Astyanax mexicanus: one gene and its partner. The protein of the gene in region 1 purifies or fractionates together with the protein of each later gene. This does not show direct contact. Links are inferred from orthologs where the notes say so. Each region holds a gene or a part of one and is shown in the gene's direction. Other genes may lie near its edges.

Region 1 (7,910 bases):
ACTTGAAAGTAAATTAAATCACTACATTTATACAAATAAAAGTACATTTGTAACACACTAAAAATTGTAGTACAGTATACTTATTAAATGTATTATAATTTTACACTAGGCATATTGAAAATATGCGGTTACATACATGAAGTAGTATGTTTAAATATTACTTCCATTTTAGTACATTTAAGTACACATTTTAGCACAATTTATGTAAGACTTTTGTACTGTTTTTATACAATTAAAGTATAATAAGTACAAAAAAGTTGTTCCATTTTAGCACTCTTTAAATATACTGATTAATAATGTGGCTACAAGTTCACTTTAGCATAATAATGCTAAGTATACTTGAATCTACTCGTACTTGCACACTCATAACATGTCTAGTCCTAGTAGAGAAGCGATGCCAATAGAATCACCATCCTCCAATATCTTGACCCCACCACCACCACTCTTATCACTAAACACAATCAAATCCTCACAGCACTGTTCTCCAATATCTAGTAGAAAGTCTTTCCTGGACAGTAGAGAGAAATAATGAAGGAGCAGCTGTCCCAATACTTCTGTCCAAATAGTGTATGTTACACAAATGAGAAATGTGCATTGGCGAGGGCACTCAAAGAAATAAGAAATAAAGACATTAGACCATTTTTCATTGATTTTTGCTATTTTTTTGTATTTGTTTTACTTTGGGAAAATTACATTCTTCAATAAAACATACAAAATATAAACTGCAAAACTGTTTTTATTCAGATTTGTGAATCAGTTTAAGTAATACACTAAAAGGACAAGATTTAAAGGAGTCAGTTCCAAAACTAAAGAAAACCCCGGAATCAGACCGGTTACTCTGTGCTTCAGTCTCAGAGACAGCTGCCCTACTAATGCTGCCCCATCAGTAACAGGACAGATGCTCAGAGGATTTATTTGCTCATTTACTTTACATAACGTTAGTGTAATTCCTGACAACAACAAAATCACTGAGTCACGTCAGTGTTTCAGTTTTACACGTTCTGTGACGATTCTCACTAAATCCAGTTACACAATAAAAGCTTTCAAATGGTGAACGTCCACAGAGGCCCCTGATTTAGGATTTATGTAATAGACAGTCACTTTATCAGAACAGAGAGCTCTTAAAATATCCTCCCGATTATTATATGTGAATGTACACAAGCCAAATTATCACTTTGTCGGCATCAATTTTCAGGCTTTTTTTTGGGCCTCTGAAGGAGTTCTGTTGTATCTGGCATCAAGACATAAGCAGCAAATCCTAAGTCCTGTAACTTCAGAGATTTGATTTCACACCTATCTACTTTTTAGTTTTATCTGAATTAAAATCAGGCGATAGTAGTGCAATAGTAGGTCCAAAATTTGGTCTGACCAAAAAAGGCGTTGTCGGTCCAGATCAGCTTTTCATGTTTCGGGTGGTTTACTTTCAGAACAATTATGGGAAGTTGAGTCAAGCTAGCGTCACCCATTTTACAATGGAAGAAGAAAAAGAAAAGGTGTTGTGATGAAATCTCTTCTTGGATATGTGCAGATGCGTCACACAGCAGTATGGCTACAACTGTATGCTGTAGAATACTGTAACTGTAGAATAACCCTTATTTATAAACAGAAATAAAAGGAATCCAAGGAGAACCTTTTACACTGGTTCTGCTGCGGTTTCTGGCACAACATCTGGAAAGGCAACTCACCGAACTTACTTATCAAAGCTCTTTAAGCTGCTCGCTAAATTGCAGTCAGTGTAAAACCAAAACTAATCAAACCAAATTAAACAATCAATTAATCAGCCCCTTACTGCAACTCCTATAGTTCACCTGCACCCACTTTCAGCCCTCACTCCAACTCCCATAATTCTCTTGCACCCACTATCAGTCACTCACTACAACTCCCATAATTCACCTGCACCCACTATCAGACCACTGTTTCACGCAAAAGGTGTGCTCTGGGTCCGGTCATGCAGCAGTATGAACACAAACGCTTAGACTGGGAATTAATTTATTTACTGTAACAGTAGATTAATCCTTATTTAGCAGCAGAAATGAAAGTGAGGATTATCTTTTACACACATGCTGCTGCAGAGAGCCTGTGTATGTAAAGAGCAATCAGATTCTGACAGAGAGCTAGAATTCGCCACAACACCTGGGAAAGCAACTCACTGAACTCATAAAAACACTCTACAAACACATAAATATAAAGTATAAAGAGACTCCGTCCTTGTGACTGATGACGACAAGATGTAGTAAAATTCTTTAGCCCGTTCACTAAAATGCAGTGTAAAAATAAGACTAACAGGACCAAATGAACAGAATGTAACAAACACATGAAGTTGCGTGCGGACACTGGTCCAGATATTTAGATTTGAAAAAAAAAAAAACACACTTAAATTGAACTTGGTTTCTGCTTGGCATTTAGAGGACTCATACACAGAGAAGTGGCACAGTGTGTGTGACTGGGCTCATCTATCTGCCAAAACACAGTGTGTGTGTGTGTATGAGATTGTGTTTTTGTGTGTGGAGAGAGGGGTCTTTATGTCATTGTGCTACTTTACCACACCCTTCCCTCTACCCAGGCTATGATTTATTTATTTACACACACACACACACACACACACAGAAACATTACCTCATACACCAATCATCAATAATAATGAGTTCAAGTCTCAGCAGTCGTAGTATTTATAAAAATGTAATGATGTACACATTTTAAAAACATTACAGACACACAAGACTGATTTTTCCTGTTTGATAAATGTAGCAAATTAATGCATGCTGTAGATTGTGTGTCATATTTTAGTTTATGATGCAGTTTAGGGTCTAGGACTAATGTGTCAGTTTGAATGTTTTTAAAATGCATATGATTATAATTTTTACTACGTTTCTCACCATGTTTATTTGTTATATATATCACCGATTCGAATCCTGTATCATGCTATTTCCCCATCAGCAGCCAGAGTCTGAGAGAGTACAGTAGATCATACTGCTTCTCTCTCTGGGTGGGTACAGTAGGTGGGGCTCTCTCCCCTCATCACTCCCGTTGTGATCCTGGTCAGTAGAGGCGTCTGTTAGCTGATGCATCAGAGTTTGGTTGGGCCTTTTTTTAAGCACACTAGATACCTGGTTATGATACCTGGAAGGTACCTGTATACCTGGACATGGAGGCTGACTTCACATGTAGCCGAAAGGGTGTGCATCTGTCCGCACCTTTCTAGTGTTGGAAGAACATTACTAGTGATGGGGAGAACTAAGAAGGGGTGGGGTAATTGGCCTTCCAAAACTGGGTAGAAAATGGATACAATTAAAGAAAATAAATTACTAATACACCACTGGAACACTGAAACACTGGAACATTGAAACACTAGAACACTGAAACACCGGAACACTGAAACAATGGAACACTGGAACATTGAAACACTAGAACACTGAAACACCGGAACACTGAAACACTGGAACACTGAAACACAGGAACACTGAAACACCAGAACACGGAAACACCAGAACATGGAAACACCGGAACACTAAAACACTGGAACACCGGAACACTGAAACACTGGAACACTGCAACATCAAAACACTGGAACACTGCAACACCGGAACACTGAAACACAGGAACACTGATACACCAGAACACTGAAATACCAGAACACTGAAACACCAGAACACTGAAAACTGGAACCCTGAAACACCAGAACACTGGAACACTGAAACACCAGAACACTGAAACACTGGAAAACTGAAACACCAGAACGCTAAAACACTGGAACACTGAAATACCAGAACACTGAAACACCGGAACACTAAAACACTGGAACACTGAAACACCGGAACACTAAAACACTGGAACACTGAAACACCGGAACATTGAAACACCGGAACACTGAAACACAGGAACACTGATACACCAGAACACTAAAACACCAGAACACTGAAACACTGGAACACTGAAACACCAGAACAACGAAATACCAGAACACTAAAACACCAGAACACTGAAACACTGGGACACTGAAACATCAGAACACTAAAACTCCAGAACACTGAAACACTGAAACACCAGAACACTGGAACCCTGAAACACCACAACACTGAAACACTGGAACAACAAAACACTAGAACACTAAAACACTGGAACACTGAAACACCAGAACACTGAAACACCAGAACACTGAAACACCAGAACACTGAAACACTGAAACACAGGAACACTAAAACAATGATACACTGATATAATGTGCAGCAATTCCAATCTATTTCTGTTATGAAATCAAAAAATGATAAAAATTTAATGTTTTTTTAGTCAGCAGGGGGCGATCTCACCCATATTATTTTTTACTAAATTGTAATATATACATATATATTTCTTTAACACGTATTTATTTGTATTAACATTCTTATCACCAGACTGCCTCTGTAAACAGCTGTGTATTTATTGAGGGAGTTTCAGCTGCGGCTCCGCGCGCGGGCTGATCAGACTGCTGGAGCTGTTGTTTAGACCCTGACGGTCCCTCATATTTACCTCGAGAGCCCCGGCGGAGAGGCGGAGAGCGGGAGCTGAGACAGCAGCCCCTCCCTCCGGCCGCAGCCCTCACTGCCTCCCGCTCCCCCTCCTCCTCCTCCTCCTCCTCCCTCCACGGAGCTGCTGCTGCTGCTCCTCCAGATGAATGGGAAGAGGGAAGGCATGGCGGAGAGAGAGCGGAGGAAGACCCCGGCAGCAGCGTCCAGCTCCCGGGCACCGCGCCTCGACTCCCCGGCCAGCTGCAGGTGAGAAGCCGCTGCTGCTGCGGGGATAAATGTGTGTGTAGTATGTTTAAGTGTAAGTGTGTGTGTGTGTGTGTGTCCCATCTCGTTTGCTGCCATCCCACCTGGGCTGTAGCAGCTGCTTGTTGATAGCGATGGGTCGCTGATAAGGGAGGAATCAGAGGAGTACAGGCGGTTTATGGGGTGTGTGAGTGTTTGTGGTGGTGTATGGAAGCAGATTGCAGGCTGTATGGGTGTGTCTCTGCTGTTGGGATGGGCAGATAAGGCAGAAGTTTGAAGGGAGAAGTGTTTTTGGAATGAGATGCAGGTTTGATTGGTACAGTGCAGAAAAAAATATATAAAAAAATACAAATATATATACAATAGAAATAAATGATAACAGTGCAGATTATTGTTAGAGTGTTAAGAAAATGAATATTGCTATTATGTGACTGAGGTAGCCGATAATAGATAATAAATAGATACTGAACTGAAATGGCGATTTATAGTTTATGCTACATTGTTAAGGAAAAAAAAGGTATTTTTCCAAATTGGGTCCACCTGATCAGCTCATGGCCCAGTCAAAGCTGCAGGAGGTTAAAGCAGAGAAAACACTAAAATGCTGAAAAAATACAAAGTCGGGGGATGCCAGCACCAGAACTGACAAATACTGGAGTAGGAGTGTTAAAGGGCCCATAGTGTAGGTTTAGTGGTGGGTTTAAATGGAAAATAAAATAGATATATTACTATTGTTATTGTTGTAGTAGAGACTGGTTCAATTTACCACTACAGTAGCTACTGAGCCAGTACATTTCTCTACAAACTGAACATTTCACACCAAAAACTCATTACGACATTACTTTGTTTACCTCCTAATTATTCATCCAGATGATTTTGAAGTGGTGTTATACATTGTTATATTGTACATTGTACATAATGCATTGTTTACAGGTAATTGAATTATGCATAAATTAAAATGAAGGTTCTCCACATTCTCAATCACATTATACACTGAAAACAGTGCATATGCAGGCTAGCTAATTAATAATGAATGGCCTAAAAATAAAATAGTAAAATCCCTAAACTCTATGGCTGATGTTAGGGCTGACAGTATATTGTGTATTGTTCAAAATGTGCAAATTAATTCCAGGAAAAAAACAAACATGTGTTGTTTGTGTAGAGAGTAGTGGTGTTTTGGAGGTATAACAGAGTAGAGTACAGATCTGTAGAGTACAGATTAGTGTAAATGTTGTAAAAACATCAAATATAAGGACAAAACATATTTAAGTGTATTACTTAAATACACAGTTATCTATTTGCTATTTACATAGCCATCATATATATTTTTATTGAGGAAGAAAAAAAGGGAAAAAATAAGTAATATATAGTATAAAAGCACAGGAATAATAGACAAAAAAATAAATGTACAAAACAAAATAAAACAACCCAGCACCCCTTTTTTCTTTTTCTTACCTTCCCCCTTTGTCTTCCTTTCTTTTTCTTCCTTCCCCTTTTTCCCCTCTGCTTTATCTTCCCTTATTTTTTCTTTCTTTCTTTCTAGGCCTTTACACCTTATTTAATTTTTTTTCTTTTAAACCCCTTTTAATATCGCCATTTATTGTCAAAGACTATCAAGTATGAAATATTTTAAATATTGATCGTTTTTCAGTCATATTGGCAGCCAGAGCTAATATAGCTCTCACATATAATTGGAGCATTTTAGAAGCATTTAGCATAATTATTTAACCAAAGATGTTTGTGGAAAAATTTACTGGTGGGGTTGGGAACTTGGCTGTGAGATGTGCAGAGATTTTGCCCTATAGAGTAAAACTGCTTAAACTGAAGTTCTTATTTAAGCGTCCCACAGAATAATGCATGATGCTGGATTATTTTTGTACCATTAAATTATAGATTCTGAGTGAAATGCTTTTAAATTTAGAGGTCATTAATTGCCGTGATCCATGCTTGCTCTATTCGAGGTGCACTGAAGCGATCAGCAGTTCTGCAGGACCATCAGCTTCATGTGTTTTGGCAGCCTGAAGCTTATACGCCATGTAACAGTGGAACCGCCTGCTACAGCAGGATTTGGGTAAACTAGGGGCCGGATATTAATTAGAAATGTTCTGAAGGAATCTGTCTCTGTACTGGAGTTAAAGTAAACGGCATGTACAGTGTATCTACTGTGCAGAGTTAGACTCCAGGATCAAACGGTTTCTGGAAGTCTCTGAGTTTAATCGCAATGTGCATTTCCTGTGTACGGTCTAATCCTGCAGTCTTACTGTAATAAACTACAGAAGGCCTCGTTTCAGAGCTCTCCACGTCCTGGCGTTCACCCAGACACGGGCATCTGCTCAGCTCCGTCTATATACAGTATCTCTGCAGGGTCACTCAGGCTGAATGGCCTTGTTTTTATACCCAGTAATAAGAAGACATTCCATCACAACAAGAGTCACAACCTAAACAAATCATTTATAGCACCAAGGGCCCCAAATTCTGCATCCTATTTTAAATGTATGTATTTATTTATATATATAATTAATATAACTATTTGCAGGTGCAGCTTTACTCTCAAATAATGATGTGATGATAGTGACAATTCTTTATCTTTATCTTTATCCTTAATCTAAAAAAAACTATAGACTGTTATACTGTTTCTATTACTATACCTTTAATGCTCAAATACATGTAAACAAGCTCTGTTATAATTGGCTCTGCCTTGCTGTGAGGATTTGATTGCATTTTGTGGCATTTTTACCTCTCTGGCCTATACCTGTCATTAGGCATGAAGCCAATCTGCTCATGATTGTCTGCTCCAGATAATACAGCTGTGTTTCCAGCTGTTTGAACTGGATTGAATTTTAACAGTGTTTTCTCACTGGTTCAATCCTTTAGCTCAGGACAGTGAGTAAAATTCAGTTTTACAGGAAAGTGATAACCTTTGAAGTGTTATCATCATCTGAAGAAGAATCGTCCCAGTATTTTTTAGAAGCTTTCTCAGTTCTGTCTTCAAAGGAAGGAAAGCTAATCAATAGGAATGCACCGATGCAGGAATTCTGAGATAATGTCCAATATTGTTGGTTTGTATCAGCAGATGACAAAACTTATAAAATGCAGATTGGCATAAGACAGCAATGGAATATACAGCTTTGAAAAGAGACTCTTTCCGTTTCTGAATCAGTTTCT
Region 2 (8,083 bases), on another chromosome or scaffold:
TCTTCAGTCTCAATTAAGAAGAAGAAAAAAGGTTTAAATGTTTATATATGTAGTCTAAGTAACAATGCATATAATGCACAAGTTTTTACATTAAAGGCTTCATAATAATATTGCCAACTTCGAGATCTTAATAAAGCAGTTCTTAATTTGTGGAAAAAGCTCAAGACATGCCTCCTTGTTTCCTGTACTGTCTGACTTGGACTCTGCCACCTAGTACACATTTTTCACTTCATGGTTTCATTATGTTTGCAGACATTTGAGTGAATGTCTGCATATGCATGTCCAAACACATTTGCAGATATGTAGGGACAGCAGTAGAACGGAGCTTTCAATAGGCATAAAATACCAAATTCTCCAGATACCACTACCTTTCAAACCTGAACCATTCACCTCTAAGCAAGTTGTGCAATCTCAATTTTTGCTTTGGAATTGTAAGAGTTTTTGATATAACGCGTCATCGCCATCTTTTACTTTCTTTCAGAATATGGATTGGGAGGCTCTTCTCCTTCGCAAACTCCCTCCCCCCTTCGTTCCTTCCATCGGAGGAAAAGAAGACGTCAGCAACTTTGACGAAGAATTCACGGCGGAAGCTCCTGCCCTCACACCGCCAAGGGAGCCTCGCACGCTCTCGCGCAAAGACCAGGACAGCTTCCGTGACTTCGAATACGTCTCCGACCTCTGTTGAAATTCTCAGAAGGAAGTTGTCAGAGATATCAAAGGTTGTACAGTCCAGGAGTCGTCCAGGGATGTTTATTATCTCTTTGACTGCGATCACGGCGGATCTGCACCATTACCACTACACTGTGACAGTAAAAGTTCGGCCATTGTGGATGGCTTGGTTTTTTTTTTTATGGATGCCAGAATGAAGATTGAAGAGACTACTATAGCTCAGTAAATGTGTGGAGTTTTTGTTTTTACTCTGGGATGGAGAACGGATTACGCTAATGAAGAGAAAATATTTAGAGATGGAGATTATGTGGACTACTCATCAAGAGAGGGGATGTAAAAGGCTGTCTGGCATATTCTCAATATAACGATAATGACACATAGAAATGTGAATTTCAGCTGAGAAAAAAAAAGAAAAACTTCAATGTAGTCTTTCTTATACTGCCTCTTTCTGTCTCTCACTTCTGCCTTTCACGTCAAACAAGTTCATCAGTAGAAGAACGGGACAGCAAGCAGCTGCCATTCTGACCTGGCCCAGTGACACTCGTTTACACACTGTGATTTTGGATTTTGAAAATGCCTTAACTTTATACTCTGTCCCTTTTGAGAATTTTACGTAGAATCTTTTAAGTATGTTAGTCAAAGGAACTGAAAAAAGAAGCCTTGAATGGACAATGATGATGAAGTGATGTGATGATGAATGAATATATATATATATATATATATACATACAGTACGGAGAATCATGAGGTCAAGATTAATACAAGCTAATGCTACGTACACTGCTTATACTGAAAGGTTTCATGTTTGAGAACAACAACAAGAACAACCTGAATATGGAATTGTGCCCACATTTAGGATTAAATGGGTTAAAGAATGACCATTAAAGGTGCTGTATATTATTCTGAAGAACAATTCTTGGTGTTTGAACCAAACTGTTGGTGTGCAAAACAAACAAACAAACTCCTCCCTTCAGGATGTTCAGAAATCTTGCAATCTTTTAAATACCTCACCAACGTTTACACATGCCGATGCCTTTCCCAGTCCTCGGCGCACACTTAAATGGCCCCTAATAATGTCGTGTGGCCCATTTCCCATTTACAAAGTAAGGCACCAAAATGTCAGAATCTTTTCCAACACATAAACAGACCAGGGAGTTAGGGAACTGTGAGGAAACATTCGCTGAATTATTTAAAATGTGTATTGGTGTATTAAAAATCGTATACAGTGCCTTTAATGGTGAGATTCAGTTTAGTACATTGACAGAGCATCTCTGAATATTGTTCTGGATAAGTTTTAAGCAAGTACTAGACACTGATTCAACACTTTTTTAAAGGCAGAGCCCTTCAGTGTTTTTCAACTTCAGCTTAATCTGCTGCATTGTTGACATTAACAGTCATTTTGATGCCTTTCCAGTAACCCTAAAGATCAGCTACAGCACATCTCTTTATGTGTTCGTCAGTAAAATTAGTAAAACGTCTAAAAGATTTTATTCTCTTAATATTATTCTAGCTAGTCAAAATGTGAATTATAGAGTTTTCCCTTCTAAAGTCTCCATTGCTCCACCAGCTGCTTGTATTTAGTAAAACTGAGCCGGATCGTCTTTTAGAGGCTGTACATTTGACATAAAGACGCGTGACATGGCCAGAAGAACTCCAGCGAAAAGCGACCAGACACCCAGTTTTTAGAATGAATATATATTAGGCTTAGGGGGGATGGTTGTTCCAGCGCACTGGTACCATTTAATACAATATTTTACCCCTTCTCCACTCAGAAATGCTTCAGCTTTCAGTTGAGAAACAAAATAATACGGACTGCCACTTTAAGTATTCTGTTACAAGGACACAAAGTCTCATTGATGTGGAGCACCACAATCAGTCTTGCTAAACATGCGTGAGTGAATAAGTTACAAGCCATTAGAGGCATCTACAAAAATGTTGCATCTCCAATATGTCAACTTTACCAGTTCCTAACTGTTCAAAGCTTTTTTTAAGGTAATTTTGTATACATTCATAGTTACGTTTGGAAAACTATATATATTATATCAATATGCAGATACAAGCTTTAGAAAGGCATTTAGATTATTGTTGATGGTGACTATCAAAGTGGTGGATAAAGAATGAATTGAAAACAAACTACTGAAGGATTTATTTTAAGAGTTGGACCTAATTAACTTTAAAAACTACAAGGCTGTGTAATTTCTGACAGAAACTAGGAAAGGAGTATAAATGTTTCAGTTTGTTTTGGTGGAAATTAGTCCCAATATTGTTTTCCTGTTTTAGCATTTTAAGCCCATTTTATTTAATTCTCTACTTTGAAACACTGGATTTTGCAATTTGTCATGAAGGGATTAATTCTGCAAAATAATGAAAAATCATACTTCAATACCACAAAAAATGAATACACTGATAAACATGTAGCACAAACTTTAATATGAACTTTGGCCTCCAAAATCAATGTCTGTTTATTACCCATCTTCGAATCAGAGACGACAACACTGCTTTTATGTGGACAGTAAAACTGTTGTCCGATTTTCCTGTGGTTTGCAGGTCAGTGTTGATGAATTGGTATGACTGTGTCCAGTATACTATTATATTACAATTCATCAGAACTCTGTGTTGAGCTGTATTTATAAAGACTTGTTGATAAGACTGCTGTGTTTGTGTGTGTTATTTTCTTATGTGTGTGAATTTTGGCACCTCTGTCATTTTGGATTTACGTTCCTGAGTAATCTTTTTCCTGGGTAAAGTTTTATATAAAATAATGAAATATCAGTATTGTTAAATGATTGTAAAAAGGCTTACATATCAAAAACAATATGTGGCTTGTATTTAAGGTAGGTAATAAAATATATAGGATAAATGAAGCTCTATACATTTTAAGAGGTTTAAATACTTATACAAATTTGAGCAATATTTGATGTCCAAATTTTAGTCTGTAAAATTGTTTCCATGAACTGACTGGAATCAAATTATTTATTAAAGAAAAATGTCCAACACCAAATGTAAAAGGACTCGTGGATAAAGAAATCACCAAAAAAAAAAACAGAAAATGGGTGGAAAAATAAATAAATAAATCTCCCAAGGAAATTCTCTTGGAAATGGTTAGGATAAGAAAAGGAGAGTTCCTGACAACTAGTGACAAAATTAAACAGAAAACAAATAAAATGAAGAGAAAAATAAATATTGCATGAAAATGGGTGGAAAACAAATATTTTTTGCAACAAAACAAATAAATAGGTGCAAACAAAAAAAGGGTTGGGGAGAAGAAATGAAAAAGAAATAAAAAAGGGTGGAGAAGAAGAATATCTTTGAAAAGTTACTTTATTTCAGTAATTCACTTCAAAATGTAAAACTCATATCATATAGATGTATTACACAGAGAGTGATCTATTTTAAGTGTTTATTTCTTTTATTGTTGATGGTTATGGCTTATAGCTAATAAAAAACCCAAAAGTCAGTATTTTAGAAAATTAGAATATTATATAAGACCAATTGGTACTTTGGCAGTGTGTCCTGCTGGAAAATGAAATCAACATCTCCCTAAGTTGTCAGCATCTGGCACTGCAGAATTTGACCTAGGATCTGGGTATACAGTCGTACACACATTCACATCAGTGCAATTTAGAGTATCCGATTTAGCGTAGGAGGAAACTGGAGTGCCCGGAGGAAACCTACGCGCACACATGGAGAATATGGAAACTACACCCAGATTGTGACTTGACCCCAGAACCCCAGCTCTGGAAGCTGAACGTGCAAACCACTAAGCCACCATGCTGCCCCATAGAAGCTGTATAATAACATAACATATTGTGAAAATATTGTTTTGTGATTATATTGTTCTGTTATAATATCGTATTTTGATATTGTACCGTACCATTATATTGTATCAAGATTATATTACATTGTGATATCGTGTTGTTGTAACATTGTATTGTGATAATATTTTATTTTGATAATATTGTATCGTGATAATGTTGTATTCTTAAGATATCATATTAAGATAATATTGTATAGTAATAATATTGTGTCGTGATAAAATTGTTTAATGCTATTAATATTGTATTGTGATAATAATATTGTATCGTGATATATTGTGATAATATCTAATTGTGATATGAATATCTAATTGTGATATTAATATTGTATCGTGATATATTGTGATAATATCGTATTGTGATATTAATATTGTATCGTGATAACAATATCGTTTCGTGATAAGATTGTATAGGGATAAAATCGTATCGTGATAATAATATCTTATTGTGATAATAATATCGTATCGTGATAATATCGTATCGTGTGGTTCCCTGCTACTGAATCGTTGCACCCTTTACAGCAGTGTGTGTGTTGGTGTGAGTCGGTGTGTGTTGCTGTCCTCCAGCACCGTCGCCAGGGGGGAGTGTATGTGTGTGTGTGCGAGTTTTAGAGCCGGGGCCGCTCGATGGTGCTGCTGAATTTTTCCAAGATGTCGTCGCTGGAACAGAGACTCTCCCGAATCGAGGAGAAACTGAAGCAGGAGAATAAAGAAGCGAGGAGGCGGATCGACCTCAGCATCGACATGAGCCCACAGCGCTCCCGACCCAGGCCGAGTAAGTGTCCGGAGGAGACTGCGGAGCCGCCGTGGTGGAGAGAGAGGCGGAATCGGGGGGAGCAGCGTTAGCTTAACCAGGCTACATAAACAAACACGGAGCTCTGATCAGACTGACAGCTGGTTAAAGACCTGGCAGAGCGCGGGCGCTGAGTAGAGCCTACTGGGTACACATATATAAACCTGTAGGTGAAGAATAATAGCGGAGAATGTCTAATTCGTGGTCATTTCGCTAGCTAACCGAGCTAACTAGCTAAATAACCGTTAGCCAGCCAGCTAAGTGACTGACTGACTGACTGACTGACTGGCTAAATTGATTAGCAGGCCCGCGTCCCAAGCCTCACAATATGACTCCAGCTAGTATCGTTAGGTTAGCTAGCGTTAGCTGGCTAACTGAGGACTTTAGGATAACGTAATATCTGTATAATATTATCAACTCTGAAAATTAATTTTCTGTAAATTCATTTTGAATCATCTGTGTGGCAGCGAATCCGTTTTTCGCTTCAGTTTTCTGACCCTTCTCAAGATAGCCACTAGCTAGCTAACCCCAGCTAACGAGACGCCTGACATAAACCTGGTAACGTTAGCTACCATGCTAATGCTAAAAACGTAACCTAGTAACTAACTAGCGAGAGAGTGCAGTTACTGTAAAAATAGAAGAGTATAAGAGTGCCCAAAAGCTTCTGACTAAATATTGGGGTCAAAAACATTTGGTTTAATGTTGGAGTCCAAAAAACATTCGAATACAAACAACGTTTGGCTGATAGATAGATAGATAGATACATACATACATACATACTTTATTTATCCCAAAGGAAATTTAGGTGATAGATGATATGAAATGATAGAGCTGTGTTCTCAATATTTTGGTTGAATGTTAGAGCCTAAAAGCATTGGCTAAGTGACAAAATGCACATATGTGTAGTTAGTATAGCTGTGTGAACAAGGTATTAGTTAGTTGGGGTCAAAAAACATTTAGCTAAATGTTGGAGTCCCAAGAACATCTGGTTAAATGGTGAAACATATATGCATATGGTATATAGAATTGTGTCTAGAAGCTTTTGGCTCAATTTTGTATAACAAAAACATTTGGTTAAATGTTGGAGTCCAAAAACATATGACTAAATAGTGGAATACAAAACAAAACGTTTGACTGGTAACATTAGAGCCGTGTTCACAATATTTTGGTTGAATGTTGAAGGGTGAAACGCATATGTTTGTTTAATAGAATTGTGTCCAGCAGCTTCTGGCTAAATATTGGGGTCTAAAATCATTTGGGTAAATGGTGAAACACATACTTTTGACTAAATGTTTTAGATCATTAACATTTAGCTGAATTTTGTTAAATGGTGAAACATACATGGGTTTATTTGATAGAATTGTGAGGCAAATTTTTGGTTAAATGTTCAGTAAGTAGAAATGTATCCATAAGCTTTTAGCTATTTATTGCGGCCCAAATGGTTTGTGCAAATGGTGAAATGCAGATATGTTTGATTTGTATAGCTGTGTCAACAAGTTATTGGCTAAATGTTTGGGTGCAAAAACATTTAACTAAATGTTGGGGTCAAAGAACATTTGGTTAAATGAAACCAATATGTTTTGTTAATATAATTATGTCCAGAAGCTTTTGGCTAAATGTTGGAGTTTAAAAACATTTGGTTAAATGTTGGAGTCCAGAAACGTTTGACTAAATAACGAAATACAAAAATGTTTGGCTGGTAGAGATGTGATCACAATATTTTGGTTGAATGTTAAAGCCCAAACGCATTGGCTAAATGGTAAACTGTAGATATGTTTAGTTAGTATTGCTGTGTCGACAAGGTATTGTCTAAATGTTGGGGTGCAAAAACATTTGGCTAAATGTTGGAGTCCACTTCTGATGAATGTATTTAGCTAGCTACCGCAAGTAGCTGTACCTATTGCTGACACAGATGTGCAAATGCACACACGCCACAGTGTGTTTAGTTTGTGTGGAGAACTATTGCCAATGGAATAAGATTCTCTGCAGCAGATAAACATGAACCTATTGGCACCATGCCCAATACCAGGCATTGACAAGAGGGGTGTTAAGCCTCACAGCATTAAACTGTGTGGCAGTGGAAGAACTGTGTTCTCTGGAATAATAATTCTTTATCTAATACTTTTAGCATGAGTTGGGAATGAGGAACAGTGGTAATCATCAAACATGATCAACCCATTAGCCCATTAATGCTTGTGTCACTGATTGCTATCAAAACCTTACAGCAGATCTCCTCCTCCACCTCCAAAATCTAGAAAGAACACTTTCTTCCATGAACAGTAGAGACAGGTCAGTTACTGCAGCAGTAAGTAGTCTTCTAAAAGGCTTTCACACTAATTGCCGGAGCATTGATGTGAGAATTTGATTATGTTTAGCCATCAGAGCAATAGTGAGGTAAGGTGCTGATGTTATATGATCAGTTGCGGATTATTTGATTTATTCTGACAAATCTCAAAGGTGTTGGGTGAATTATAGAGGATCTACAAGCTGTTACGTGCCTGTGTCAGCAATTTGCAAACCTTGACAGTAGCTAAATTCAATAATGTGATACATTTGGGCATAAAGTTTATCTTGGTCTTGGGTAGGTTGTGTAATTATAGATAATATTTGATGTGTCTTCTTAAATGTAATCTGTTCTCTCTCTAAACGCTTTAGTCTGGTGTGTAACCTTCCGTGTGTTTGATATCAGCATTTGTTTACATATTTCTGAACATGGGCATTTGCACAAAGCTGTGCAGAACATTTAGGTCCCTAGGCGCATTATTTAAAAGAAATTTTTTAACAATAACATTTTTGCTGTAAACAAAA

The links.
Region 2: the proteins of mapk8ip1b (region 1) and map2k7 purify together in Homo sapiens (affinity purification with western blotting; 3 studies listed by BioGRID and IntAct, with this or other methods). This does not show direct contact. The link is inferred for Astyanax mexicanus from reciprocal best matches to the Homo sapiens genes MAPK8IP1 and MAP2K7.

Annotation. Positions count from the first base shown.
Region 1 is NC_064423.1:8,535,682-8,543,591, reverse strand, and holds the start of mapk8ip1b (C-Jun-amino-terminal kinase-interacting protein 1), read left to right. Parts: upstream 1-4,632; 5' UTR 4,633-4,647; coding exon 4,648-4,751; intron 4,752-7,910. UniProt on the Homo sapiens protein: The JNK-interacting protein (JIP) group of scaffold proteins selectively mediates JNK signaling by aggregating specific components of the MAPK cascade to form a functional JNK signaling module. Required for JNK activation in response to excitotoxic stress.
Region 2 is NC_064428.1:26,978,208-26,986,290, reverse strand, and holds the start of map2k7 (dual specificity mitogen-activated protein kinase kinase 7), read left to right. Parts: upstream 1-5,056; 5' UTR 5,057-5,109; coding exon 5,110-5,257; intron 5,258-8,083. Other genes in the region: pkn1a (serine/threonine-protein kinase N1), read left to right, coding at 482-685. UniProt on the Homo sapiens protein: Dual specificity protein kinase which acts as an essential component of the MAP kinase signal transduction pathway. Essential component of the stress-activated protein kinase/c-Jun N-terminal kinase (SAP/JNK) signaling pathway.